4 linked regions of the Notamacropus eugenii genome follow. The protein of the gene in region 1 interacts with the protein of each later gene in a biochemical or structural test. Links are inferred from orthologs where the notes say so. Each region holds a gene or a part of one and is shown on either strand. Other genes may lie near its edges.

The links.
Region 2: the proteins of SMAD3 (region 1) and CEBPB form a complex in vitro, tested with the Homo sapiens proteins (2 studies listed by BioGRID and IntAct). The link is inferred for Notamacropus eugenii from reciprocal best matches to the Homo sapiens genes SMAD3 and CEBPB.
Region 3: the proteins of SMAD3 (region 1) and PIN1 form a complex in vitro, tested with the Homo sapiens proteins (2 studies listed by BioGRID, with this or other methods). The link is inferred for Notamacropus eugenii from reciprocal best matches to the Homo sapiens genes SMAD3 and PIN1.
Region 4: the proteins of SMAD3 (region 1) and E3 ubiquitin-protein ligase NEDD4-like interact in a test that uses a peptide from one of them, tested with the Homo sapiens proteins (3 studies listed by BioGRID and IntAct, with this or other methods). The link is inferred for Notamacropus eugenii from reciprocal best matches to the Homo sapiens genes SMAD3 and NEDD4.

Annotation. Positions count from the first base shown.
Region 1 is NC_092872.1:129,940,775-129,948,296, reverse strand, and holds the start of SMAD3 (mothers against decapentaplegic homolog 3), read right to left. Parts: upstream 3,014-7,522; 5' UTR 2,558-3,013; coding exon 2,352-2,557; intron 1-2,351. UniProt on the Homo sapiens protein: Receptor-regulated SMAD (R-SMAD) that is an intracellular signal transducer and transcriptional modulator activated by TGF-beta (transforming growth factor) and activin type 1 receptor kinases.
Region 2 is NC_092872.1:516,783,722-516,790,751, forward strand, and holds CEBPB (CCAAT/enhancer-binding protein beta), read right to left. Parts: upstream 3,015-7,030; 5' UTR 2,418-3,014; coding exon 1,329-2,417; 3' UTR 363-1,328; downstream 1-362. UniProt on the Homo sapiens protein: Important transcription factor regulating the expression of genes involved in immune and inflammatory responses. Also plays a significant role in adipogenesis, as well as in the gluconeogenic pathway, liver regeneration, and hematopoiesis.
Region 3 is NC_092875.1:80,258,914-80,266,293, reverse strand, and holds the start of PIN1 (peptidyl-prolyl cis-trans isomerase NIMA-interacting 1), read right to left. Parts: upstream 3,009-7,380; 5' UTR 2,942-3,008; coding exon 2,884-2,941; intron 1,250-2,883; coding exon 1,049-1,249; intron 1-1,048. UniProt on the Homo sapiens protein: Peptidyl-prolyl cis/trans isomerase (PPIase) that binds to and isomerizes specific phosphorylated Ser/Thr-Pro (pSer/Thr-Pro) motifs.
Region 4 is NC_092872.1:140,798,843-140,805,770, reverse strand, and holds the start of E3 ubiquitin-protein ligase NEDD4-like, read right to left. Parts: upstream 3,008-6,928; 5' UTR 2,722-3,007; coding exon 2,677-2,721; intron 1-2,676. UniProt on the Homo sapiens protein: E3 ubiquitin-protein ligase which accepts ubiquitin from an E2 ubiquitin-conjugating enzyme in the form of a thioester and then directly transfers the ubiquitin to targeted substrates. Specifically ubiquitinates 'Lys-63' in target proteins.

The sequences.
Region 1 (7,522 bases):
AACTGTACTGAAATACAGCCCCCCACCTCCCCCAAAAAGGTTATAGACTCTAGATTAAGAACCCCTCTGCCCTAGACAATTTGACAAGTTGCATGCAGATTCAGGTTAATGCAGGGCTATGGCAGACACGCTGCTATGATTAAGCCTGTAGCCAATTACCTCCATTTTTAATTTTCTGCCCACAACCATTATTGGGACACCTGATGTCCCAGTAACAGTCTTGTTTAGATAGTCAGTTGCAATATGCGGTTTTCCTGAGTCTGTGACAGCAAGTATTAGTCAGGTAATAACTTCTCACAGTGGCAAGGGAAAATCAGTAGGGGAGGGTGGTTGCAGATCCCAAAAGTTCAATGACAACAAGCTACATAAATTGTTACTTTCTAGGAATCCTTAATGCTTCAATTAAGAAACACAGTATTTTGTAAGCATCTCTTCCAGCCTCTACACTTACAGCAGAAGCTTAGACACATCCTAATCAGGTGAGTGGGTGAGTACCATCAATCTTCCTGGAGAAGTAATTACCCAGGAGTCCTGGAGATAACAGAACCTGGGACTGAAACTCAGGTTTTGCCTGTTATCAAACCATACCTACCTGTTCATTCAATCACTGCTGGCCCCTAGACCTAAGGTCTACAGACAGTATATCCTCTTTCTCTCCTTACTGACTATATTTGTCTAAAAAAACAGTCAAAGTATGAACTTCATCGGTATTTCCAAATGAGGGTTGCTTCTCATGAACAGATGCAGCATTGTGAAGGCTGACCCCAGTGTTAAGACAGCTTGGGATAAATACCCAGGCACTGTGATTCTCCTTCACAGCTGCTCCAAGGCAGGTGGTGGTGTGAGAGGATACATCCTTGGGGCTGAGTGGCCCTGAACCGATGTGGACACTGGAGTCCTCTGCTGGTCAAGCCCAAGGAAGCCCAGGTAACCTGGATTAAATCAAAGCCCTGGGGAGACCCAGTCAACAGCAAATTCCCAGAGTTCCTTCAGAACAGAATGGACCCTAGAAAGGGGATGGAGAGGCAGTGGGTAAAAGGCTCCCTTCTCTTTGAATTCTTCCTCCACCTCCACCCACCCTCCCCCTCCAATTTACCAAAATAAATACACTGAGTTCAGCCTCAAGGGAGTCAGAGCAAGTCACTGACCCTTTCTATAAGCCATCTGTGAAACCCTCCCCATCTTCCCCTCCTAGGGATGCTGTGAGCATAGTAGAGAATAAACAGATGGGAAGGTGCTTTAGAAATAAAGACACCGTAGGAATGCATGAGACTGGCTGAGGCCTGCTTTTGTAGGCATCTTTGTCATCAGAACTACTCCACTTCCACAGGGTGCTAAACAGTTCTGCATCACCCTGAATCCTACTTAAAAAAAAAAAAAAAGAAACACAGACACCACCCTCCCGAGGACTGGCTACTGCCGGTGCCCCTTGGTCTTCCCTGTGAGTGCGGAGAGTTTGGGGAGAGAAAGAAACAAGTTCAATACTAAGTATTCCCTTCTTCTAGAAAGTCAGTGCATTATAATCTGAGCCGTACGTGTGCAGGAGCGGAGGGGGTGTGGGGGGTGGGGAGGGCACAAACTGGCAGGACTGAATCTAAAAATACTCCTGAAAAAAACGAATCCCAAATGCAAAGAGAGCGAAAGAGAAGGAATCTGTCAATCACACGGGGCCAGGCTTCTCACCCACAACCCCAGCCCGGGGAGGCCCTCCCTTCGCTGTGCGGACTGCATTCCTGGGGGGAGGGGGGGAGGGAGCCGGCGGAGAGGGGAAGAAAAGACGGAAGGGAAAGAAAAATGAGGGGAGGAAGAGACAGACCGACGGACAGAACCACTTCTACTAGGACGGGGAGCCGAGGCCGGGATCGCTCAGCGCTGCTGCGGAGGGGAGGGGCGCGAAACAAAGCCGGAGCCCCAAACAAACTTCCAGCCCGCACGCACCCACCCCCGCCCTCCTGCCACCCGGGAGAGAAAGCCCCACGCTCCACAAGCCATCCAGGACCCCAGTCCATCTCGCCCGCCACTGGTCCCCCAATTCCTCCCTCCCGGGCTGGTCTGGGCCGCGTGGAAATCCTAGAGTTTCCATCTTTGTAAAGGTTTTGTTTGGGTACCTTGCCCCCGCCCCCCCTCCTGCCCAGACACATACACACACACAGACACACAGACACACACACACACACACACACACGCACACACACACTCACACTCGCCGCCGAGCCCTCGATCGCGCCCACTTTTCCCCGTTTCAAACACACACAGCCGGGCCAGGCCCGGCAGTGAGAAGCAGCCGCCGCCCGTGCCAGTGCTGGTGCCCGTGCCCTGCTCCCGCTCCGGCGCGGGCACCCCGTCCTCACCTGGGGATGGTGATGCATTTGGTGTTGATGTTCTGGGTGGTGATCGCCTTCTCCAGCTCATCCAGCTGCCCCGTCTTCTTGAGCTTCTTCACCAGGCTCTTCACCGCCTTTTCGCACCACTTCTCCTCCTGCCCGTTCTGCTCGCCTTTTTTCCAGCCCAGTAGGCGCTTTACGATCGGGGGGGTGAAGGGCAGGATGGAAGACATGGTGGAGGGGGGCAGAAGGGGGCTCCCCCCGAAGGGGGAGGCAGGCAGGCACACAGAGAAGGCTGGGAGCCCGGCCGCGGCCGGCCAAACTCCGCTCCAACTCCCTGCCGGACTCCCGGCGAACTTTCCTCCGGGACCTCGGCACCGCCAACCTCCGGGCCCGCGGTGGCCTCGGCTCCGCCGCCCTCCTCCTCCTCCCCCTCCCGGTGCACTCAAGGGGAAGAGGGAAGGAGGGACGAAGGGAGCCGAGAGTCCGGGCGGTGGGGGTGCGAAAGGGCCACGAAAGCACGGCGGCGGCGAGAGCAGAGAAAAGTTTGTGTTTCCGCACGGGGCGGCTGTTGGGTGCCGCCTCTGGGAAGAAAAGGCCAGCCCACGAAGCCAAGTTTGCGCTGCGGGCTCGCCGGGATGTACGGATCCCTCCGCCTTCGCGGCCTCCCCCCGCGCTCCCCGATTCCTTTCGCCCCCTCCCGCCCCTTCCCCTACTTCCCTCCAGGCCTCGGTGTGTGCGCTCAGGCTCCCGCCCCGATCCCAGTCTGTCTCTCATGCAAATCGGCGTGCAGCCTCCCTTCCAAGCGCCTGTCACCGCCCCCTCGCCCGCCGGGGCTCCCTCCTCGCCGCCCCCAAACGCGCCGCCCCGTCGTCCTTCCTCCGTGCCCCCCAGCCCGCACTCCAGGCTGGCCTCCGCGGTGGCGCCCGCTCCGCCCCCTGCTCCCAGAGGAAAGAGATCAGCCCTGGGGCCCACGCCAAACACCCCCCCCCCCCGTGGGCGTGGGTGCTGCGGGGCGGCTCTCCCCAGGGAAAGCCGTAGCCTGCGCACCCCCACAGCTTCCCCCTTGCTTTTTCCTGCAACGTCCCTCGCTCTTGGGCCACCTGATGACATGCAGGAGCTCCCCGAGAAACGGAGGAGAATGGACAAAAAGCGGGGGCTGCACCGTGGCCCCTTTACTTTCCCAGGGAGAACCAACTTGAGAAAACTTTTGTTTTTAAAGTTGCGTCCTTACGGTTGAAGAACGCTCTAGGGTCCTTCTGAACCTGGGTGTCGGGGGTGCGCATTTGCGCACACACACTGACTGCCCTGTCCTCCTGTCCCCCAAAGCAGACCCACGGACAGACCCTCATTACTCCAGTTAAAGCAGTCTAGTTGTGTTCGAGCTATTTCTCTTTTATTCTCTGTAAAATGTAGCCAGCGTTTCGAACTGTTTTGTTTTGTTGGGGGGGGGGGGGCGGCGCGAGAAAAATGGGGGAGAGGTGGCACTGCGATCTGCCCTTCGAGACCTGATTTTAAATCCCCAGAGTCTCAAAGATCCCTCAAAGGTGGGAATTAGGATGGAGCAGTCAGAAAACAGAGGTATATGCTTACACTTTTTACCTGTCTAAATTGAATGGGTGAGACCTTGAAGGACCTTGGAAATCATCCAAGTCTTTTGGGTTTACAGAGTAGGAAACTGAGGGTCCCGGAAAGATAGTAATTTGCTCAAGGTCTAACAACCAAGTCCAGCTGAGTTTAGAATCCAGTCCCTTTGACTCCAAAGTCAGTGCTCTTGAGTTTTGAGTCCCAAAGTAGCGTGTGTCCAGATCTAGGGAGGGAAATCCCTGGAAATTTAGGTTTTCAGAGTTATATTAAATGAGAAATGAACAGAGAACTGGAAAGACAACGCTAAAGGGAACAAGAAATTGATAGAAGAAGATCTGGAGCACAGAATTCAAGGTTCAAAATTAAAAGCATAGACTTGAGATTGCACCCTAGTCTCCTTGGCTTCCCCCTGACTGCCCCCCCCCCCATCAACTCCCACACACAAACACATCAAGTGCCTTTGCATGTTTTTTATAGCAGGAAATCCTTGGGGGGGGGGGGGGGGAGAAGTTATCTAGGAAACCTGAAGAGGGTGCAGAGCCACGAAGCCTGGAGGAGAGCAGAATCCACATAGCCAGCTAACCAGCTCCAGGGGTTCCTGAGGTCTCACGGTGGATGACTTAACACATGCTTGTTAGTTAGGCTACTGTTGCTCTGGGTTATTTCTCTCTACTCTCAGCTCTTTCCTAACGTCAACACTGCCCCAGCTGTGGTTTAGTGGGGGGAAAGTCCTGAGCTAGAGGTCAGAACAACTGGGTTTCTACTCCTAGGACTAAATTGTACTCTTGGCCTTGGATAAACTCAGTTTTCACATCTATAAAATGAGGGAGTTGGGTTAGATAATCTTCAAAGTGTGTCCCAGCTCTAAAACCACATGAATTTCTGAAAATCTATTCTCCAACCCTTGGTTTTCCCAGTCTGCAAAATGGGGATAATAAACCCTGCCTCCAGGCTGTGTGAGAATGAAATTGATTGCCTGAGGAAAGCATTTGCAAAAGCAGTAAATGTAGTGAAACTGTTAATATTGTTTCATGTTTATCCCTCAGTTCAATCCAGTGTCAACATTGTAACATAGGAATTTAGCCATGAAACAAGCAGCCAAAAAAACATCTCCATGCGGTTGGCAAAAACACTAAAATAGCCATGTACCTCAGTTTCCACCTTTTAATTGGCCATTATTCACAGTAACATTAATTGAACAAACAATGTTCTAATAAAATAAATTCACATAATAAATACTTGTGGGGGGAAGGGAAAGACATTGATTAAGCATGAAATGCAAGAGTGAGCCCTGCGCTCAAGTTCCAGGAGGTATCCAAAAATGTCCCACATGTGGGTCCTTTCTTCTAGGAACAGGCAATCTCGTTAGGGAGACAAAGGATATCCATATGAAGACAGCTAACAAATGAATGGAAAAAGCATTTAGTAAGCACATTTGTGAAAGTCACTGTACTTTATGATACAGGACCGATGAGTGTTACAGACAAATGGGAGTTGCTGAAGTTCAGAGAAAGGAGGGAGATCACTCTTACCTGAGACAGCTTTGTGGATGGAAGATGACACTCAAGCTGAGTTTTAAAGAATGAAAAGGAATCCAAGAGGCACAAGGAAAGGACATTACAGCATGGAGGAAGGCATAAGCCAAGACAAGTGGGAATGTGTAAGTCATATTTGCAGGAAGAGGCAACAGATTTGTTTGGCTGTTGAGAAGAAATCAAGAAACTCTAGCCATGAGACCTACAGGTGGTATTTGGCCCATGATGATTGAGGGCCCTAAAGAAGAAGTCTCTGGAAGCCTCAGGTTTGTCCCGAGAACAGGTTAATATCATCCATTAACATTTTTGTCTGACTCATATTAGCTCTGTGCTTAGGGTCAGGCTAGCTCAGGAGTGGGGAACCTGTGGCCTTGAGACCACATGTGACTTTCTAGGTCCTTGGGTTCCTTTGACTGAGTCCAAGTTTTGCAGAACAAATCCTTTTATTAAGGGGAATTGTTCTGTGAAGTTTGTATTCAGTCAAAGGTACTCCCTTGAAGACCCAGAGGGCCACATGTGGCCTTGAAGTTCCCACCCCTGGGCTAGAAATCAAGTTAGATTCCATCTTTGATCTCTAGGGCTAGCTAGGTGATTCGGTGGATAGAGTCCTAGGCCTGGAGTCAGGAAGACCTGAGTTCAAAATAAAATTCGGACACTTACTAGTTGTGTGACTGTAGGCATGCCACTTCATGTCTGTTTGCCTCAATTTCCTCATCTGTAGAATAGGGATAAGGATAGTACGAACCTTGCAGTGTTGACTCTGAGGACCAAATGAGATGACTGTAAAGTTCTTAGCATAATGCCTGCCATATAGTAAGCACTATATCAATTTTAACTATTAGTTATTATTAGCGTATCACTATGGATGCCATGGATGTGAGAAGATGTACATCCATAAGAAAGAGAAGAAACAGGAAATGTTAGAATTGGAAGGCGTGGTAGAGAGCATTTAAAACAAGCTCCTCATCTTATAGATGAGGAGGAAATGTATACAGTAAAAGATCACCAGCCTGAGACTCAGTAGACTCTCTACAGATCAGCTATGTATGAGTAGCCCATTTAACTAGGACATGCACCTGGGGCTTTTATTGTGTTTTTAAGGCTAACATTTTTTTGAATGTTATTGGACTCACTTAAAAAAACTTTTAAAAATTCATCATACAACCTAAAGAAACAAAACCAACAATTTTAAAATTAAATTTTGTTTTAAAAATTACATATTTATAACTAGACCTTGTATCATTTGTGTACAAACTGTAAAAAGGAGATATAAAATAGTAAATTTTTTTCAAATTTATTTATTTGTTTTCAGTTTTTAATGATCACTTCCATAAGTTTTAAATTTTCTCCCCTTCCTTCCCCAAAAAGCATGCAATCTTATATGGGTTCTACACATACATTCTTATTAAACACATTTTCATATCAGCCATGCTGCATAGAAAAAAAATAATCTTGTACAGACACTAAAGTGTGCCTGGGTCTTCCTTGTTTGCTCTATATGCATGCCTTACTCTTCTGGGCCTTGAGTTTCCTCTTCTGTGGGTTAAAAGAGGTAGATGAAATGATCTTAAGGTCCCTTCCAGTTGTATAATCTTTTAAATACCTAAAGTTGGTGATCTAAAACAAGGTCATTGACTGCTAGCCTGTGCTACTGGGAATTAGTGACTGAAGATTTTAGGCCAAAATGGACTTCCTCACTGGGGATAGTGACATGAAGTTTACCTGGTTTTGGTCATACCCTGTTGAGTTAATTTTCACCTAAACCCCTTACAACCCTTTTGCTCTCACTATTTCACGGAAAATTCTTTTCTCAAAAGTCATCAATTACCTCTTAGTCACATAACCCTTTACAGCTTTCCTGGTATAATGGAAGGGGAACTATCTCTGAAATCAGAGGACCTCTGTTCAAATCTCACCTCAGACACTTGCTACCTGTGTGACCTTTATAGACCTTTTCCTTGACTGCTTTAGAGCTAATTTTTTCTTCCTTTGGTTTCAAAGACTACCCTCCCATTTTTTTTCCTCCTGCTTCAATTGTGCCTTCTGTTTCCTCACTCAACCTCTTCCTGACTCCTT
Region 2 (7,030 bases), about 390 Mb from region 1:
TCTCTTTCTGTCTCTCTGTCTCTCTCCCCCTTCCTCTCTCCTACACCTCCCTCCCCAGCAAATCCCCCCAGAGTGGGGAAGCTCTGAGGACGAAGGGACCCCCTGCAGAGGGGAACTTCTCTCCCAAGACCCAATTCCACACAGCCCCGTGGGTCACCCGGGCTCCTACCATAATTCTGCTGAGTCATTCAAAGCCCAGCCTCCAGCAAGCTTCTGTCCTTGAAAACAGCTGCCTCCAACCACTTCCTGGAGACCTATCTCAAAGTCCCCCAAACCCAAAGGCCTTAGAGGAGGGGGAGGGATGAGGTGGGGAGACTTTCAAGGAAAAAATTCCAAAAAGCAAACCACTGCCCCCCCAAGGCTCTTTTACTAGACGCAAAAGTTTATTAAAATTGTTCATTATTAATGCTTCAAACGCAGAGATCCCAAAATATACAGATGCCTTTTTCCTTATAGAAATAGATTATTCTTTATAATAAAAAAACGTAGGAACATCTTTAACAGATTACTCAATCCATGACTGACAGTTACACGTGGTTACATCAGTTGTGTACACAGTCGTTCCCAGCCATGTTTAAAGATTGCATCACTCACTTTCTGTTTGCCTGCCCGCCGCCCTCCCTGCTCCGCTCGGCTAGATCTGTGTGTATCTATACACATGTCGTATATACACATGTATGTGTATATACACACGGGCATATACACATACACATAATTTCTGGGTTTTTAAATAACACTATGCCACAAATTCGCAGAGATCCCCGATCTGAACATTTGGTTGGTGGGAAAATATATATATATATATATATAAAATAATAAAATTACCAACAAGAAAGCCAATTCGTCAACCAGGCAAGGCGCACAAGTTTTCAAACGTCGCCGGAGGTTGACGGGAAAGGGAATATTTGAAGGCTCTCACAAGGGGTTGTTCGGGTGACGGAGAGTCAAGGGGGGGAAGGCGGGGAGGACTGGCGGACAGCGGAGGTCGATGGTGCCGCCCCCGCAGGGCCCTCACTCAAACAAGAATCTAAAACAACCCCCGGCGGCCCGCCTCGAAAACAACCTACCATTCTCCTCCTCTCCCCACACAAACACCCACCAAATCTTCGAGTCTCTGCCCTTTCTCTCCTCTCTGCTAGGTCTGCCCCACCCGGGAGCAGAAGTAAACAGCCCCGAGGCTAGCAGTCTCCAGATGTGGCGGTCAGCGGTGGCCAGATACGATCACCCCAAGTCCCCCCGGCCAAGTGTCCTAGAGGGGCGCGGGCCACAAGAGCGAGAGGCCTCCCCGCGCTGGCGGAGGCTGGGGCCCCAGAGGGCCGGCCGCTGGGCTAACAGTGTCCGGAGGAGGCCAGCAAGGGCTCGGGCAGCTGTTTGAACAAGTTCCTAAGCGTGCTCAGCTCTCGGGACAGCTGCTCCACCTTCTTCTGCAGCCGCTCGTTCTCCGCCGTCAGCTCCAGCACTTTGTGCTGCGTTTCCAAGTTGCGCATCTTGGCTTTGTCGCGACTCTTACGCACCGCGATGTTGTTGCGCTCCCGGCGGATCTTGTACTCGTCGCTGTGCTTGTCCACGCTCTTCTTGGCCTTGCTCTTGGCTGGCAGCGGGGTCGGGCCGCCCGGGTAGCAGCCTCCGGCCTTGCTCTCCGTCGGGTTCGGGGTCCCGGGGGGACTAGAGGAAGACGACGTGGACAGGTTGCCGCTACTGCCGCTCGGTACCGACTGGTAGCCCAGGTAGGAGCGCATGGCATAGGGCGAGCCGGCGGACATGCCCCCGCCCGGCCCGGCCGCCGAGTCCTCTTTTCTTTTGCAAGGCACCGAGTCCGCCACCGGTTCGAAACCGGGTTCGGCCTTGAGCTCGCCTGCCCCCGGCGGTGGCAGTGGCGGCGGCGGCTGAAGGGGCGTGAAGCAGCCCGGAGGGTGCAAGCCGCCTTTGCTCGCGCCCTGCTGAGCTAGGCGGCCCAGGCTCAGGTAGCTGTAGTCTGGGCCCGGCGGCTTCTTGCAGACGGAGCCGCTGCCTTTGGCGTAGTCGTCCGCGAAGAGGTCAGAAAGGAAATCGTGGTGGTGGGGGGGATGAGGAGGGTGCGCGTGGGGGTGGCCGGAGGAGGCGGGAGCGGAGGAGGCGGAGGCGGCGGAGGAGGCGGGAGGAGGCGGCTCGAAGTTCCCCCCCGCTGCTGGGGGAGGCGGCGGCGGCTGCTGAGGCTGCTGGGCGCCCAGCGGATCCAGGTAGGGGCTGAAGTCTATGGCTCTTTCGTGGTCGCCGATGCTGAGCTCGCTCATAGAACGGCCCCCGGGCCGGGGCGGGTGCAGCTTGAAGGGAGCTAAACAGTCCGCCTCGTAGTAGAAGTTCGCCACTTCCATGGATTTAAAGGCCGGAGGCTGCAAAGGGAGGCATGTTGGGTCCCAGGACACCAGGCGTTGCATGAAAGCAAAGGGGGAGAGAGGAAGGGGAAGGGGGAGGGAGAAAGGGGGGGGAGGGAGAAGGGAGCAGGCTGGGGCGGGGGGCTTGGCTTGAGGATTTTCGCGGCCCCCCTCTGCCCCGGCCGCTGCAATCCTCCGGAGCAGAGACGGAGGCTGCTTTCAGCTCAAGCTGCGCCAGGCGTTCTGGGATCCCCAGGGGCTCGGCTGTCCCTGCTGCCGGGGTCCGGAGCACCGAGCTGGGGTGGGCTTCTGCGGCGCTCGGCACTGCTTCCGCGGCTGCTGGAGCTGCTGTGGCCGCTGCTACCGTGGCTGTGGCTGCGGCTGCTCCGGACCATCTGGTCCCTCCGGGTCCCGTGCGCGGCTGTGACTTGCTAAAGTTTCTCGCTCGCCGGTTATTTATAAAGGCGGCCCTTAGCAACGGCCCATAGCTGCGTCACGGCTGGCAGCCTGCCCCAAGCCGCGCATGCCGGGCCGCCGCTTCCCCTGCTCCCCCTGCAGCCGCCACCGCCACCGAAAGCTCCCCGCAGTCCTAGCGCCGCGACCCGGCCCCGCAACCCGAGAAGGAAGCCGAGCCAGCGATGCGCGTTTTGGGGGTCCTGCGGACTACGCGTGAGGCGATCGCGTGCGCCCCAGCTCCTATCCCAAGGGAGAGGCTGGGGGAGGTGCGGCCCCGCCCCCTTGGAAAGAACGCGCGCACACACACACACACACACACACACACACACACACACACACGCCACCATTCCTCAGTCTCCTAGATCTAAGCCCTGTGTAGATCTTACCTCCACCCCCAGGTTTCCCTCTCGAAAGGGGCCGAGGATTTCCGAGCCTCCCACTCCTCCGAGGGTCTTTGCTTGCGGCCCTGCCTCCCTTTCGCTCTCCTCTGGTTTGCACTCCCCGCCCCTCCCTGCCCCACCCCGCCCCCCGCCCCCTAACCCCCTGCCTGCTGGAGAGTGGGCTAGCAGAGGATCTGGGGCAGAAATCCGGGCCAGGGAAACCAGTTTCCCACCGCCACGATCTGGCCCTGCCTCCAGAGCTTCTCCATCCCACCCGAGGCAGCTCTGGCTCTGTGCGGTGCTTTGTCCCCACCTCCCGATGCACCTGTAGGCCGGGGCACTTGCCCTTGTTTCCTTCCCTCCAAGCTGTCAATTCTCTCTCTCTCTCTCTCTCTCTCTCTCTCTCTCTCTCTCTCTCTCTCTCTCTCTCTCTCTCTCTCTCTCTCTCTCTCTCTCTCTCTCTCCCCCTCCCTCTCTCTCTCCACCTCTACCTCTACCTGTACCACCTCACTTGTGTCTGGAGCCCCCAAGACTCTTTCCAGTCCACTGGGGAGCCGAAAACTTGATTCTTGGGGGTGGATTCTTGGGATGTTCTTGGGAGTAGATTGTAGACATCGGTAAGTTTGAGCTTATGTGCAAGTCTGGTCCAGCGCACCCACTTGGGGTGTAAGGGTGCTCTATATGTACTGGCTGTCCCCAAGAGTGGTGATCTGCCACCAGGAGCAAGCCTCAGTGTTAGCCTTTGGACTTGGGTCTTCTATACAAGGCAAATAATCTGAGAACGAATGAAGATCTGGACTCTAGTTCTGACGACCACTTAACCAGCAAGTTAGAGGATTTTAAGATTAAGAGCTGGAAAGGACATTATAGGTCACTTTGATCAGCTTCCTCATTTTGCAGAGAAGAAAACTGAGACTTATGGGACTTGAACTCAGATATTCTGGCTCCAGACCCAATGATCTTTCCCTTCTACCACAGCAACTTCCAGGTCCTCAGTTTCTTCTATTGTAAAATGAGAGATTTGTACTAGCTGCCCTCAAGCCCCTTCCAGGTTCAAATTAATATTATTCCTCACACATGCTCCCCTTACAACTAGCCTGGCCAGCCTACCTGGAGGAAAGTGAACACAGGGAAAGAAAGACTTGTTTCTGAGAAAGGTTAACTTGGAAGGTCTCAGCACTTCCCAAGGGAGAAAAGAGACCAGAGGCTAGCAAAGAATAGGAAAGAAGCCATGATTCCCCTAAAGTGGAAGAAGACCCCTGGATTCTATTTACCTGCCACTGAATGCCTTCTGTCTTAAATCTGGGGAGTTCAAGAAATTATTTGACTCACACTGCCCCTGTTTCTTCCAAGCCCTCTTGAAAATAGAAATGGTACCCATTATCCCCTGGCCCTGTACCCCACAGAACTCCTAGGTAACTAGAAAGAATAGGGCAACTTTCCTCTCCTAATTCCTCTTCTAACCTGGAACAGGAATGAAATTCCCACTGCCCAGAACCTATCCTGGTTCAATGACTTGGGCCACAGAAAAGAGTAGACAGTCACAGAGGAGACTTTGACTCATCACTGGTTTCATTTCTTTCATCTTAGACTATTCCTCTAGTTGGAAAGAAGGTCTTTTCTGGAAGCCTCTACTAAATAACTTGCCATTCAGAGTATGTGACAGGCCTGCTTGGGGGAGGCTGGTCTCCTTTACTACTTAAGAATATGAAGGTAGCATTTTGTGGGGGAAGGTGGAGAGGAACAGTACATATTGGACTAGAAGTCAGGAGATACAGATTCTGGTCAACTGTGCCACTAGTACTCACTATATGACCCTGAGTAAGTCATTTCTCTCTGAACCTCATTTTTTTTATGTACAAGATGGGGTTGGGGGATACTTCTAAGTTTTCTCCCAGCTCTAACACCATAGGTTCTATAGTTCCTTGTACCTTTTATGTTCTAAGAGCCCTTCTAGATGACATTCTATGGTTCTGCAACTGGTTTCCTGCCTAGTTTATTTTCCTTGCTGGAATTGTCCATGAGACACCAGTGAATTCTGGTTAGATGGCAAAGCTAGAACTTCCTGATAGCCCTGGCATTGTTCATGTTTTGGACAGCTCCCTCCATCAGTCCAGGATCAAGTTGTCCAATGTGTCTTCTGCCCTCCTCCTAAAACCCTCCCACAAACCCTGCTCCCTCCCCGCCCCCCACACACACATATCCCAGACATTCACATGCATACATTCATACAGGCTTATTTGTTGGTGATCCCTGACCCAACACCCCCAGGCCTTCACCCCTGCAAGATGTTGCTCAAGCCCTATTTTATCTGCTCCTTCAGTGATCTTTGCCCTGTAAGTGCTGGTGGAAAAATGACATCTCAGGAGCCTGGGGACAGATCAACTGGATGAGCCTGAAAATTTTTCAGGGCCTCTCCACAGCCTTGAGAGAGGTTGGGAGGCCAGAGGTCAGAACCATCCCTGGAGTTCCACAAATGGAACAATTGCACCTGACCCAAGCAAGAGGCTGAAGCTTAAAAAAAAATACACAAAACTTGAAACTGTTGCACAAAAAAGATGTCATATAATGGAGAGAGCATCAGAAAACCTGGATTTGAGTTCTTGCTCATTAGCTCTATGACATCAGCCAAATCATTGGTGTGATCATCTGTAGTGTGGGAAAACAATGACAAGCAAGACAGTTTTAAAAGTAAACATGTAGAATTTATAATATACTTTCATTTTTAAAAAGCAAGTGGTATGAAATATTGGTTCATGGTTTCATGTAGAATCTTTTTTGTGTTCTGTATATATAGAAATGTTCTTTTTTTTGTGTTTAAATTCAGAATAAACAATTTTAACATGAAATGGAATAAATATCTGTTTTGTTTTATTTAATTATGAAGATCAAATAAAATAATCTCTGCAAAGCACTCTGTAAATAATAAAATCTAATGCCAGTGTTATTGCTGTTTTGTCCAGGGCCGGGTCACCAGTCAACATTTTCAGAATGTACATTACCCCTTTGTGAGATAATACAGTCATAACGGATCTTAGACTATAGATTGTCAGAAATGGAAAGGGACATCAAGACACACTATCAGAACCTAGAATGTCAGGACTGAAAGATAAAACTTAGTCCAATCCCTTCATTCTATTCTTTTAATTTTCAGTTTATTCTAAACTTCATAACTCTTAACAAAAACATTCAAATAAAATATAAAATGACTGTAGACAGAACAATTCAATTCAACATTTATTAAATGCCTACTAGATGGCAGATAACCATGCAAGGCACTGAGAATGAAAAGACAAAAATGAAGCAGTCTGTACCCTAGAGAAGCTAGCATTTTTCTGATACCTGCTGAACTCATATAGTTTTGAGGGTCAAATGAAATACTCTATATGAAAATCTTTTGTAAATTACAAAGTCCAAGTTGCTTACATTGGTCTTTAAAATATGCACATTAATTTAACAAAATAAAACTATTCCTTTTGCTTTCATGTTTCTTTTTTATCTTTTTTTTTATTCTGTACATTTTTTATTTGGTTGCCATAATTTTTTTATGTAGTGGTCATATATTTATGCATTTCTTATGATTCATTATATATTTCTTATGATTCTGTTCCCCTCACTTTACATCATTTTATTTCTTCCCATATTTCTTCACATTCCTAATAATTATCATTTTTATGGTGCAGTTACATCTCATTTCATTGCATTCATATCCTTCGATTTATTCATACATCTCCCAGTTATTGGACATACACTGATTCCCTGATCTTAAAGAGAAGGAAAATATGCCCCAGAAAAGAGAAATGACTTGCCCATGGTCACACATGGTCCTGGAACTGAAGT
Region 3 (7,380 bases), on another chromosome or scaffold:
TAATAATTCTAATGCAGCAATATGGTAAAGTCATTCCTCCTCTACTCCAAAACCTTCAATGGCTCCCACTGTTTAAACAATAAAATCATAACTCTTTAGTCTGGCATCCAATGCCTTCCAATAACTGGTCCCAATTTTGTTTAGCCTTTCTTCTAGAATTCTCCAACACACATGCCAGTTCCTTCAATGCCTTCCAAACGTATCTTCTGCATTCCCATCTCTATAACTTAGCTCAAGTCATTCCTCTCACCTGGACTGCCCTCTTCCATTAATTCATTAAAATCCTACCCACCCTCTTCCATGAACCCCATCCCAAGTTCACGAAGCTCTCTTCTTCTGAACCTGGACAGTGAAACTCAGTGTCTGCCCCACATTTTAGGCAATGGTGGCCTCATGATGTTAAACCACTTTCTGTGCTTTAATTTTGTTTCTCCTTACTAGCTTCCCTTAAGTTCTGTAAGGCTAGGATTGTACCCCACCTTCCTCTTCCTTCTTCCTAACTTGGGGCAAGGCAGGAGGATAGCACTGGTGCTAGGCATAACAGGTACCTTGTAAATGTTTGTTGCAGCAAGAAATGGGGCCTACAAAGGACATTGCCCCCACCTGGAGATAAAGAGTTCCTTCCCCAGGGTAGGCTAAGCATAAGGGAATCAGCATCTGGTCAGGGTCTTTTAGAAAAAGGGAGGGAGGGAGAGATTGGCATCAGGTTATCTGCTATAAAGATGCTAACGGTTAAACGGCAGTATGAAGGAGGATGAGTTACGGACCATGGGTTGACACTTTTTGGATCAGTTTTATTTTTAACAAATGGTATTAATACACATTGACAATAAAAGTTACAAAAAGACCATCTTGGTGTTACAGAGGTCAGGGAGCAGAGGAAAAGGGAGAGTTCTGTCCTTAAGCCACATCAGTAAATCCAAACCAAGGCCCTGGGCACATGTGCTCCTTTCCAGGTACTGCAACCCATTCCATATCCAAGGCTGGCTTGGGCTCTGGACCCAGTTCCCCTTTGTCTCCCCCCAGGCTCCTCCCACCCAGTACTTGCCATTGATCAGCTCCAACGCCTCCTCTTTGCTCCGAGTGATCTTCTCCTGCCGCCAGGATGAGGGCCTCCGAGACTGGCTGTGTTTCACCAGCAGGTGTGAGCATCGGACCTTAGCAGGTTCACCTTGACCATTCTTGCCCACACTGCTTGGACGCTCCCACTGGCTGGCATTGGTGATGTGGTTGAAGTAATAGACTCGTCCTACAGAGACAGAACAGGAATGTGTAGCACACGTTACATTGGGCTTTACACACTTAGAAAGTGGGGAGGATAGGGGTACACACTGAGGCTGAGGTGAAACAGAGGGCATACAGGTCACCCTAAGTCATACAAGGCAGACAGGTAGGAAAGCACTGGTTACCCTGGGCCATAGAAGCAACAGAAGCCACTGGTCATCCTGGGTCTTGGGAAGTACAGGGTGGGATGACCCTGAACCATAAAAGGGGCAAGGCAGAACAGGGTGAGCACCTGTCATCCAGAGCCACAGAAGAGGCTGGGTCACTCTAGACACTGAGGGGGGAGGAGTAGAGAAAGTACCAGTCACTCTGGGCCTTGAGTGGGGTGGAGGAAGGAGAGAAAGCATTAGTCACCCTGGGCGTTGAAGGGAATGGGATGAGAGCATAGGGTCATTTTTGGCTTTTTGTGGAATGGGAGGAGGGACACTGATCACCTTAGGCTTTATGTGGATGGGGTGAATACTAACCCTTTGGGCCTTACATATTGGAGTGAGGAACATCAATCACCTTGGGCTTTACATGGGGGTGGAACACCAAACACTTTAGGCCTTATGGCAAAAGGAAGCAGGGATCACCCTGGGCCTTACGTGAGGGGAGCACCCCTGATCATCCTGGGCCTTACATGGGACAGGGTGGTGGAGAGCACCCGTAACCCTGGGCTTTATGTAGGGTGGGAAGCACTGATCACCCTGGTCCGTATGTGTGTGGGCGAGGAAGGGAGGGGAATGAGGAGTACTAATCCCTCTAGTCTTTATGCTGGGAGCATTGATCACTCATGTGGACCTTATGTGGGGGGGAGATGGAGCACTGGTTACCCAGGGCCTTATGTGGGGGGAGGTTGGAGCAGTGATAACCCTGGGCTTTATGTGGGGTAGAAGGATGAGAAGCATTGATCACCTGTCCTCGGACTTAGGAGAGACTACTCATCCCCCTTGGTCTTGGGGAGGGCAGCACTGATCCCCCTGAGCCTTATATGGGGGGAGGGAAGCTGGAGGGAGGGGAGCTGGGGGAGGGTGAAGAGCACTGCTCTCGTAGGCCTTACGTGGGGGCAGAGCACTCATCACTGGGTCTTGGGGAGGGGAGCACAGACCCTCCTAAGGTGAGGGAAGGGAAATACTGTTCCCCGTGGGCCTTATATGGGGCAGGGGGATGGGGAGCAAAGATCATTTGGGCCTTATGTGGAGAGGGGGAGGGGAAAGCACTCTTCACCCCTGGTCTCGGAGAGGAGAGAATCGATCCCCCTTCTGTGGGGGAGAGCACTGATCCCCTTGGTTCTTATGTGGGGGAACGGGGTACTGATCGCCCCTGGGCCTTTACAGGTTCTGGGGTTCCTTCGATGGGGAAGGGCGAAGGACACGAAGGGGCCCGGGGAGCCCAGCCCCGTTCCCATGCCGGGGGTCCAAGGCCGGCCCGTTACCTGGCCTCCTCATTTCCTGGGGCGGGGCTGGGGGGTGGGGGAGAACTAATCGCGCGGGGCTATCTTTACAGGGCCGCAGGCCGTGGGATGATGGGGAAGGGGTGCAGGGCCCGAGCCCGGGGTGTCCGCACTCATTCTTCTCCTCCCGGACCCAAGCGCGCCCTCCCTCCACCCCGTGGCACCTGAGCTGCGGCTCATGCGCTTCTCCCAGCCTGACGGCAGCTTCTCTTCGTCCGCCATCTTCCCTCCTGCCGCAGCACCCGCTCCGCCTCCGCCCCGCCGCCCCCACCGATTGGCTTAACGCCTCCCGCACCGGGCCCTGGCCGTGTCATTGATTGGCTGTTCCCACGGCAAGGCCCCACCTCTGGCCTCCTCACTTGCTGCCAGAAAGGCGCGGGGGCGTTGCCTCTTGTCACTCAGACTCCGCCCACAGACCCTGCGTTCCCTAACCCACCCCTCTTCGAGCCCAGCTCCGTAAGTGGTGGAATGAGGAACAGAGGCCGCTCCTCATTATGGCCATTGGTCACAAATAGAAAGACCACCCCTTAACTTCCGCTTCTAGCTTTAGGGCATCCCCTCCTTCTCGGAAAGAATGCCGCTCGCTGATTGGCTGCTGGACCTGTAATTCCCTCCTTCTCAACAGTTCTCTGGGCCTTCGGGTAAGGAAGCAGCACCAGAAGGGCGGGGAAATTGGAGCCCCAGAGGAACCGGAGGCCTGATGCTCTGGGCGCGTTGCTATGTTACCTCGTTGCCATGGTTTTGCTCAGGCTCGGGACCCGCATCCTGGGCTCAGTTCCATTCAGAGAAGTGGGAGGCGCAGCCCTCTGCCCAGCTCTCTGCTCGATCCTTGTTCAGCCCTCTACTGGACTTTAACCAGCCTTCTTCAGAGTCCTTATCTTGCCTCTCCCCAGTTCCCGTCCAGTTCTTATCAGGCCCTCTGCCCAGCTCTTGTCCGGTTACCTGCTAGTCCTTATCCTTTGCCCGGGTTTTGCCCTATCCTCGGCCAGCCTTTTGTCTGCACCTCACCCAGATCATGCCTAGCATTCCTCTGGTTATCCCCATTTTCTTGTCCTGTCCTTTGCCCAGCCTTTGCCTCTGCCCAGTCTTCTGCTTTGTCCTCCCCAGTCTTCTCCTTTGCACTTCAGGTCTTTTCTGGCTCTATTTTCTTCACAGTCATTTGTTTAGTGAGCAGGGCAGTGTTAAACACTGAGATATGATATGTGGTCAAGAAGCTCTCTCAAAGTTTCTGGGCTCACTCTACTAGATTTGATCCTATGGAACTGACTCTCCGTAGTCCATTTCTCTCTTTGCCTTGATATACCTTAACTTGGAGTTCTCCAGGTAAATCTCTAAAATAAAGCTTAGGCAGAGTTCTCCCTCTTAGTTTCCCCAAATGTCTCATTTGTACAGTTATTTGTACATTGTTTCTCTCATCAGACTGTAAGCTCCTTAGGAATAAGCACTGTTTTTCCTCCAGCACTTAGCACAGTGTCTGGCATATAGTAGGAGCTCAATAAATGCTAATTGATTGGCAAAGTTTCCAACTCGCACTCAAACACAAGTTATGCAACAGACTTGATTTCCCTCACCAGAGAAAATGCCTAAGATGCAAAGGACTCACAGAGGTCCATGAGCAAACAGAGAAACGTACATCACTCAAATAACCTGTTAGACTCATGAAAACACTTTGGGGGTGCTGTTGAACAATCTCCCTTCACATTGGACCTGTGCTGATCACACAGCTCATAATAGTGGAACTAAAGAGGTCCAGACCTCTTCCCACCCTCCTCAAATGACTTCAATACTTTATTTGCAGGATGAGCCTCTATGTTATCGGTCCTCTTATGCCTTCCAGGACAGTATTGAGGAAATCTCCCTCCTATGCCCAAATTTTAAACTTAAGGAATCTTCAATTTCAGGCTTGTAATGTGCTTTTCTTATAGGTTGCTCTTTTCTCCTATTGCTTGTATTTTAGTTTGGAAGATCAAAGAAAGCGCAAGAAAAGGAAGGAACTGAACAATTTCACAGATCACTTTTATAGACTATGGTGAAAGTGCAACTATTCTGACTCTCAGTTACCAGTTATCTTGGAGGTAGCCCTAGTCACTGAGAACCAAGCAGAGGAGTTTCCTTCTCTGCGTACCCTCAACAAGACACTGAGAAGTGTATTATATACATACATACATACATAAGTGGTACACATATACTCACAAAATCTCTCATGGTTTTCTGTGGGAAAGATGGAAAGATATGGGATACATAATAGTACAATTAGGTGAATTAAAAAGTGATTGAAAGGCCAGACCAGAAGAATTAATAGTTCATGTCTGGGTATCAATTCAGAAGTAAGTCTCCAGCGGAATGTCCCAGTGATTTATTTGTACTTAACCTTGTGCTTTTTAAAATTTATGGGGTTTTAAATTTTTTATTCTGAACTTAACAAACATCAAATAAAATGATTGTCTTCATAAAGGACAGAGAGGTTTATACAGGAAACTGAATGTCTTCTTTTTTTATATAATTTCACATGTAGCTTTCTAAGCTGTTCTGCTTAATTTATATTCCTTCTGACCTTCCTTATTTTCTCCTCTGTTTGGGGGTAAGGAGGGAATCTTATCTCCATCTTCTCTCTCCCTTGCACCTTCCCCCTTCCAGTGGAAAAAATATCCATAGCTTTTGTAACATATCCATAGCCAAGCAAAAGAAATTCCCACTTTAGTCATGTTTAAAAATTTATACACCTTGAGTTCCTCATTTCTCTGTCAGAAGGTGAGGTGATATGTTTCTTCATTAGTCCTCGGGAGTTATGGTTGTTCATTGCATTGATTTGAGTTTTTAAGTCTTTCAAAGTTGTTTTTTCTTTGTGATGCAGTCATTGTATTAATTACTTTTTTGATTCTACTCACCTTATTTTGAATCAGTTCATACAAATCTTCCCAAGGTTCTCTGAAACAATCCATTTCAGCTTTTCTTACAGTCCAATATTATTCTATTACATTCATATACCATAATTTATTCAGCCATTCCCCAGTCAATGGACACCCCCTAAGTTTCCATTGCTTTGACACTTCAAGAAGAACTGTAAATATTTTTATTCACATAACTCCTGTTCTTCTTTCTTCCATCTTTTTAGGACATAGGACTATATGTCTGGTAGTGGTATTGCTATCCTGTACTGTTTTTATTGATGACTTGAATAGATGGTCTGCTTATAAAATTTGCAGATGACACAAAGATGGGAGAGATGACTAATACAATGAATGACACAGTGAGGATGCAAAAAAGATCTTGATTGGCTAGAGTATTGGACTGATTCGATGAAGATAAAAATTTAAAGTAATATGCTTGAGTTTAAAAAAATCAGCTTCATAAATATATCATGGGTAGGGAAGAGGGTGGGCTAAACAACACTTCATCAGATAAAGATCAGGGGTTTTAGGGAACTTGAAACTTATTTAACAGAAGACCACAGTGTAATAATATGGCACCCAAAAAAGTTAATGCAATCTTAGGCTGCATTGAGGAGTAATAATGTCTGGGAGGTGATAGTCCTATTGTATCATAATACACAATAGCTATACTCCATCTAGGAAGGAAAACAAAGAAACAAGAATTTATTAAGCATCTACCATGTGCCGGAGCCCTGTGCTAAGTACTTTACAAACCTTATCTTGTTTGATTCTCACAGCAACCCTGGGAGATAGGTGCTATAATTATCAATCCCATGTTATATCTGAGAAAACTGAGACTGATTAGTTGGTTGGCTGTTGTCCTTTGTTTTTGAGGAGAACCAAAATGACATCACCATGATAAAGTGAAGTTTCAGTGTGTCTGACTGTGGCTGATCAGACCAACACAAGCTCGAAATGCTGTTCTACAGATTGGGCACAGATAGTCCATGTGAATGTTTGGGTGGATACTCCAAATTTGCACATCCTACGTTTCCTTTGTGCTGTCTCAATTCTGCTTTGCTCATAGAGCACAGCACCTTTTCTGATGTGGAAACTGAGGCAGACAATGGTTAAGTGATTTGTACAGGATCATCCAGTTAGTAAGTGTCTGATGCTTTATTTGAACTCATCTTCCTGACTTCAAGCCCAGCACTCTCTCCACCATGCCACCTAGTTGCCCCCAGAGTATTGTATTAATTTCTGGGTGCTACATTTTAGGAAGGACCTTGCTAAGCCAGAGGAAGTTCAAAGTAAGGCAGCAAAAATTTTGAAGGGCCTTGAGATCATACTATATGAGGATCAATTGAAGGATGCTTAGCCTGAAGGAAAGGAGATTTATGTGGAACATGATAAGAATCTTCAAGTAGCTGAAGGGCTACCAGGGAGTAGATTTGTTCTGTTTGACCCTAGAGGACAAAACATGGAGCAATGAGAGGAAGTTTCCCAGAGTCAGATGTAGGCTTTTGATGTCAGGAAAAATTTCCTAATGATAAGAGCTGTCCAGAAGGAGAATGGATTTCCAGGAGGAAGGAGATTCTTCCTTACTGGAGGCCTTCTAAAAGAGGCTCAGGGGCCACTCATTGGAAAACCACAGCACTGGCAAGATTCAAAATTTAACCTAAGGGGGAAAGAAATGAAATATTGCTCTGAAATATGAAAATTAAGAAAATAGGAATTCGGCTCCATCTCTACCTGCATTTGGAAAATCCTCTGTTCTCAATTCATCAG
Region 4 (6,928 bases), about 11 Mb from region 1:
TGAGTTACTAGGGTCAAGGGTCAGCTGCAGCCCTTCTTTCCCTTTACAGATCAGTCCCTCCTACCCCATCACTCCTTAGAGTTCAACTAGACAAGTACAACCCCTTCATCAGCATTTCAAACTGAAATAATTTTTTTAAATCACATTGAATAAGAAGTCCTTTTTTCTTAAAAAAGAAAAGAAAAGCAATCTTCAAAGCCATTTTAAGACAATCACACAAGAGGAGGCTGAAGTGTTGGTACTACTAAAACAAAGAGTCACCATGGCTTCCTGTAAGTTGTCTACAACACTGGAGAAAAGACTGGTTCTGGTACTGCCATCACTAGGTAAAGAGAGAAAAGCAAGCAGCCCCTTCCTCAATCTTAATCTCTTACTCCTCTCAGCACAATGGAAAGAGGAGGAAGTTCACAGTCAGATCTCTCTCTTTCCCTGGGATACAGTAATTAAGGGACATAAAGCAAATAGAGGCATTTGGAATCTTGGCAGGGCAAAGGCCAGACCTCCAGTTTATCCACTGGGGTGAACTCTACATGCAGGTGGTTGTCTATTACATGAAATGTGTTGTGGAGTCTGCAGTCTTAAATTCAAGAATTGAGACTTCTGGTCTTGACTGATGATTGCCTGAGACCATGGGTTACCCTGCCCAACTCTGCTAGAGAGGTGTAAAAGGCATGGGGAGCAAACTAAATTAGCCTTGGCTAACCCACGGAGGCATGCAGAGGCAGACACCTGGAACAGGGCCAGATATTCCAAGTTTGGGGTTTTTTAATTGCTGGAGGGAGGAAGCAACTAACTAGAAAAAAGCAGATATCACTAATGAGATACCAAATCAGCACAAAAGAAGTACTAGAAAAGGGGAGTTAAGTTTTTCAGACATTTTGCCAAGGACTTATTCTGTTTCTGAGATTTCCAATCTAGAGATCTAGAACATAGTAAGAGAAGGAGAATGAGTAAAAAATTCATACCATCAGAATATGGCTCTGAAGAACCCAGAGAGTCCCAAGCCTGCCTAGACCAGTGTAGGTCTACCTAAGAAATGCCTAAGGCAAGTATCCGTCCTATAGAACTAGCAGCAAGACAGTCTTTCTAATACTTTTTAGAGCCAGAAGGGCATAGTGTTTTTCTCTTCTTGTTGAAATATTAGCCAAAAATTAATGTAGCAATTATCTAGCACTTACCATACATACATAACCGTTTAGTACATACAGGAATAACAGTGAATATATTTCCATCAGAAATTATCTTCTATCAGCATATATACATAACCAGCAGATGAAATAAAATATTGTTGTTCAGTGGTGTCGACTCTTTGTGACCCCATGGATCACAGCCAATCCTTCACTATGTCCTGGTATCTGTCCAAGCTCATGTTTGTCACCTTCTATCCATCTTATTCTCTGCCATCCCTTTCTCCTTTTGCCTTCAATCATTCCCAATAAGTAATTCTCCTTTAATCAAATTATATTTAAAAGGAATGAAAGGCACTGTTCTTTATTATCAGGACTCACCAAACCAATATTACTAAGGATAGGGACTGGATCTATGATTTATGGGTCTAAGGAACTTCCAATTACAAACTCCTGCCAAGGCAGGTGTGTACCTTCCCTCCAATTTCTGGCCTTAGAGAGTTGCTTAGGATACTTCAAGTGATTTGCCCAATAAGTGTCAGAAAGAGCACTTGACCTCAGTTTTTCTTGATTCCAAGGCTTATTCTCCAGCCAGTATGCTCATAAAAATTGTTTTATAAAGGATCTACATAAGGGAAGATAGGAGAGATTATATCAATAAACAGCTGAGAAGCATACAAAATATGTTCTCTATTAGAACGTTACCGAAAGAGATCTGATCTCCTCAGCCACCAGCCCCGTACATGTTGCAGCTGTGTTTACATAGTTGCTAACGCGCGGACGCCGCCGAGGGGGCACACCTTGGGAGTATACAATGTTGCAGATTGTTTCCATTGGCTCTGGGAAGGGGAGTGAAACCTAACTGGCCTTCACGGAACCGCATCACCGCAGCGGGAACTTCCAACGGGAGCCCGGGCTCCACGCAGGCCGGACCAAACCGCGGAGGGGCCGAGGAGAGAGATCTGCTGGAGCTGTCACCCACCAGGGCTTCACTGAAGCGTCATGTCAGGAAGCAAGTTTCAGTTCAGTTTAATCTCAGTTAAGTAAAAAAAGGAGGGGCCGAACGCTTTCTATACTGGCTCTGGTTAGTAAATTCTCTCTTCGGCCAAGCCCGAGCCCCAAACGGGGTAAAGAAAACAAAGCACGAGGAGCCGGGGGCCGCGCCCGGGCGCCGAGCCCGCCCAGGCCAGGTCTCCCGGCTCGGGCCGGGCCCGCTGCGGCCCGGGATGCTCCAGGTGAGGCGCGAGACATCCCCGGATCTCCGGCTCAGGTTCCCCCGCCCCCGCCGGCACGCGGGAGAACTGCCCGGGCCCTCGCCCGGGCCCCACTCTGCACGGCTAGAAAGGGGGTGCAGATTAGGCTGGGGGGGCTCGGTCCCCAGCAGCCCTCTCTAACTCTCACGAGCCGGCTCTCCGCGGGTCCCGCCCTTCCCCACCCGGCCGAGCCTGCGAGTCCGGGGCCGGGAGGTGAGAGATGTCCCAGCCCGGCCTCGAGCTCCCTCGGGTGGGGGATGGGGCGGGGGATGACAGGGACCAGCGGGTCTCCTTACCTCATCCTCCAGAAGGCCGAACACCTCCGCCGGAGAAGTTGCCATGTCCCTGCGGGGCCGAAGAGCTCGACTCCCTCACCCCTGGCCCGGAATCGTAGCGGGAAAGGGAAGGGAGGTAGGAGAGGGGAGGAGGAGGAGCGAGAAGGGGGGCGGGGGGCGGAGAGGCTGCAGCAGCGCCCCCTGCCGCGGGGGAGAAGAAGAAGGGGCCCCTTCTGCCTGAAGCGGGGCGGCCTGGGGCCTGGGGCCTCGGGCCTCGGGGAGGGAGTAAGGGGAGCGGGGTGAGGTCTGCGCGCTTCCTTCCCCGGCCCGAAGCCCGGGCGGAGCCAAGTCTGCGGAAGGGCTGGGTGCGACTCGCCGGGGCGGGCGTGGGAACCGCTGGAACCTCCGCCCCCCGAGAGCGCCCAAAGTACAGGATGACGGGGCTCGGCTGCGGGCCTCGGGGCGGCCAGTCCAGGGCTGGGGGCGGAGCCGGACGCTCCGGTGCTCTGCCTCGCGCAGACTGTCGGGCCGGGCAGCCGCGGGGGACGGGGGTGTCCCGGGGGGCAGGGGTGTCACGGAGGGGTAGCGGGCGCCCCGGGGACGGGGGAATGCCCCAAGAGGAGAGGGGTGCCGCGGTGGGGTGGGGGGTCCCTCAGGGAGCGGGGGGGTGTACCGGGAGGAGGGGGTGCCGCGGTGGGGTGGGGGGTCCCTCAGGGAGCGGGGGGGTGTTCCGGGAGGAGGGGGTGCCGCGGTGGGGTGGGGGGTCCCTCAGGGAGCGGGGGGGTGTTCCGGGAGGAGGGGGTACCGCGGTGGGGTGGGGGGTCCCTCAGGGAGCTGGGGGGTGTTCCGGGAGGAGGGGGTGCCGCGGGGGGGTGGGGGGTCCCTAAGGGGGCGGGGGTGTCCCGGGGGGCTGGGGGGCGCCCCCGGCCTTAGCCCAGCTTCGCCAGCCCGCGCCCCTGCCCGGATCTCATCCCAGTTCCGGTCATGGCTTCTGTAGTAGCCTGTTATCCCCCCACTACGGAGCGCCCTGGGGTACCACGGAGTTGGGATTTAAACTCAGGCTTCCCAACTGTCGTGGGTCATGTGACCTCCCTCTCCCAGATTAACACCAGTTTTTCCTCGTTGAATTCACTTCCATTTCTGAGCCTCTGGTGGTTTGTAAAGAAACACTTCTAAAAGGTTCCCAGTTATATCCTTTTGAGTCAAGGGTGGAGAGAACAATGCCATATTTTTATTATTTTCAAAATAATTATTTTGAATTATATAATTATATATTATTTTATCTCGTTTCATGTGTTTATATGTTAATTATGTATATTATACACAATGTTGCACTTTAACGTCGGATCCTTCCCCAGGCTTTACCCGACACAAGCGGTGATCCAGATATCTAGGGCACAAAGGGGAAAAGTCAGCTCTTTGGTCCACCTCCTATCGTGTCTGGACAAATTAACAAATGGTAGTTCTGTGATCCCACCTTCGAATTTAACAAGTGGAGGAAAACGACACATCGAAAGATAAAACTCCATCTCTCACCTCCATGTTCCATGAGCCACCCATTCCTCATCCCTGTTCCATTTCTGGAACCATAAACTGGTGATCGTTCAGAGAACTTGTCTGTCTACTCTGCTCCGGTCACACTCGCTAAGAACACTTTCTAAGATTAAAGTGTCCAGCCGCCACCACTCCACTATGTACATCGTTTCCACCATTAGAATGTAAAATCTTTTAGGTCAAGTCTACAAGCATTTTTTTCTTCTTTTTTAAAAAAAAATTTATTTGTTTTCAGTTTTCAACAATCACCTCCATAAGTTTTAAATTTTTTTCCCCCTTCCTTTTCCCCCCCTCCCCAACACAGTGTGCAATCTTATATGGGTTCTACACATACATTCTTATTAAACACATTTTCACATTAGTCATATTCTACAAGCGTTTATTAAGTGCTTACTGTGGTCTGTGAATTGTGCTAAGTGCTGGGAATAGAAACGCAAACAAAAAATAGTCACCACCTTCTAGGAGCTTACTTTCTAAAGGGAGAAGAGACACATGAAAGGGGACTGAAAGGTGTTGGGGTAGTACCTAGTGAGGTCAGAAAATCTTAGGAATTCCTCCAAGAAAGGATGACTGGCTTGGGCCTTTCTTCCAAATGGAGGGAATGGGAGAGAAAAGTTCAGGGTGAGAAGGCCACAGCTGCTGCAGGACTTCGGTGTTTTTTTATTTGTATCCCCAGCACTTAGTACAGAGCTTGACACTACTACAGTTAAGCACTTAATAAATGCTTTTGCATTCATTTAGTGATCAAATTACAGTTAAGCTTTTTAAAAAGTCAGTAGGCTAGAGAATGGTCATATCACCTACCCATTTACTATTCCTGCTTCTTTCTAGTCTTGAAATCAGAATAATTTACCAGTGAGGCCACCTTCAGAGTACATCAAATTAGGGAAATTACCTTGGGCCCAATGTTTTGGAGAACCCTGCCTAGGCCAGGCAGGCCAGAAGGACCTGAGGGCACAGCAGACTAGCAAAGAGACAGGGCCTGAGAATGGGTGCTCTTGACTAGGGCAAGCATACATGAAAAGATGTATGGGATTTTAACTGTGAGTTGGCATAAATACACTTTAGAACAGTGGTTCTTAACCTGGGCTCCATAAACCCTTATAGATTTCAGGAGATTTTGTAAACTTGGATGGGGGGAATAATGAATCTTTATTTTTTTAACCTCTGATTTCCTTTGTATCTTATGTATTTTATTTTACACATCTAAAAATTCTGAGAAGGGATCTTCATCAGACTGCTAAAGTGGTACATAACAGAAAAAAAGATTGAGAACCCCTGCTTGAGAGTTACTCAGCCAACCCCTACTCTTGCTGGAAAGCTAGGTCCTGAGAGCAAGGCTTCTCCATCTCCCCTAATGGCCCTAGAGAACCCTGAGGGGCTGGGTGGCTGGTGGCTTTCAAAGGCTATAGTTCATCAGCTGAGGCTGGGAAACCCCATCGTTTTCTTCTTCCCCATCTGTACCTCAGCAAGTGATTTTTTTTTTAAAGTACTTTACCCATAGCTTTTATATCCTCAAATGCCTGACTCCAAACTAGCCTTCTGGTGTATAAGTCCCACAGGGCACGACCACATTGTTAAACCTATGTAAACAGATTTCTTATTGCACCTTGTTGAAATGCTTTGATTGAATAGAGATATCCACCCTCTAACTCTGTAACCCTGGTCAAATCACGTAACCCTGTTTGCCTCCGTTTCCTCATCTATAAAATAAGCTGGAGAAGAAAATAGCAAACGATTCCAGTATCTTTGCCAAGAAAACTCCAAATGGGGCCATGACTGAAATAACTGACACACAAGAAATAATCCAGGGTATAACTGATAAGGGTCTTGAACGAGGATGGTGTGTATGTGAGTGGAGAGAAAGGGACATGCTATAGATTAATTATAATACAGAAAGTGAAGGAGAGTTGAACTTGCGAGTCTGAAGTCGTCAGTGGTACGCTCAACAAAAATTGGAAAATTTGGAAAAGAATTAAAATTAAGTGGGAAGATTTTGCAAGTTGGGGTGCTTACCTAATCCCTTGAAGTGTAGTTTGTGACGGGAGACTACAATTAGAAGAAAGATGGGGGCTGATTTGGGATACAGCTGTTGAGACAATAATTGAAACCAAGAGGGTGCTACAGAACCAGGACAATGCATTGGGGGCATAGGTACATTTAAGGGTCTCTACACAGATGAATATTCCACAAAAGGGACTGAGAAGCAAACAGGGAGAAAAGCTAAGAGTTAAGGACCTCAGAGGAGGAACAAACATTTAGAAGGAGGGCGGATGGTAAGTGATGTCAAAAGATGCTGAGGGGTCACAAAGGAAGAGGAATGAGGAAGTGGCTCCCAAGAGTTAGCCACTAGAGGTGGGTCACTGATAACCTCAGAGAGATCCCTTTCCGTTGAGATGTGGTGTCTGAAAACTGGTTGCAAGGGGTTGAGAAGAGAGTGGGGAGGTGAAGTAAAAACTGCAAGTGTAGATTTTGGTTTTTATGAATTTGTTTATGAAAGGGAGAAGGTGTATAGAATGGAGCTTAGGGGAGCTGGCAGGTCTAAAGAATGAAGACACCTGGGATGGGTACAATACAAGGTGTCTTACAAGCATCATCTCTCTTTATCCTCACAACAACCTTGACAGATCAGTGCTAATATTATTCGCATTTTGTAGCTGAGGAAACTGAGAGAAATAAAGGTTAAGTGAATTGCGCAGCACAGCTAGTGAACGTAGGA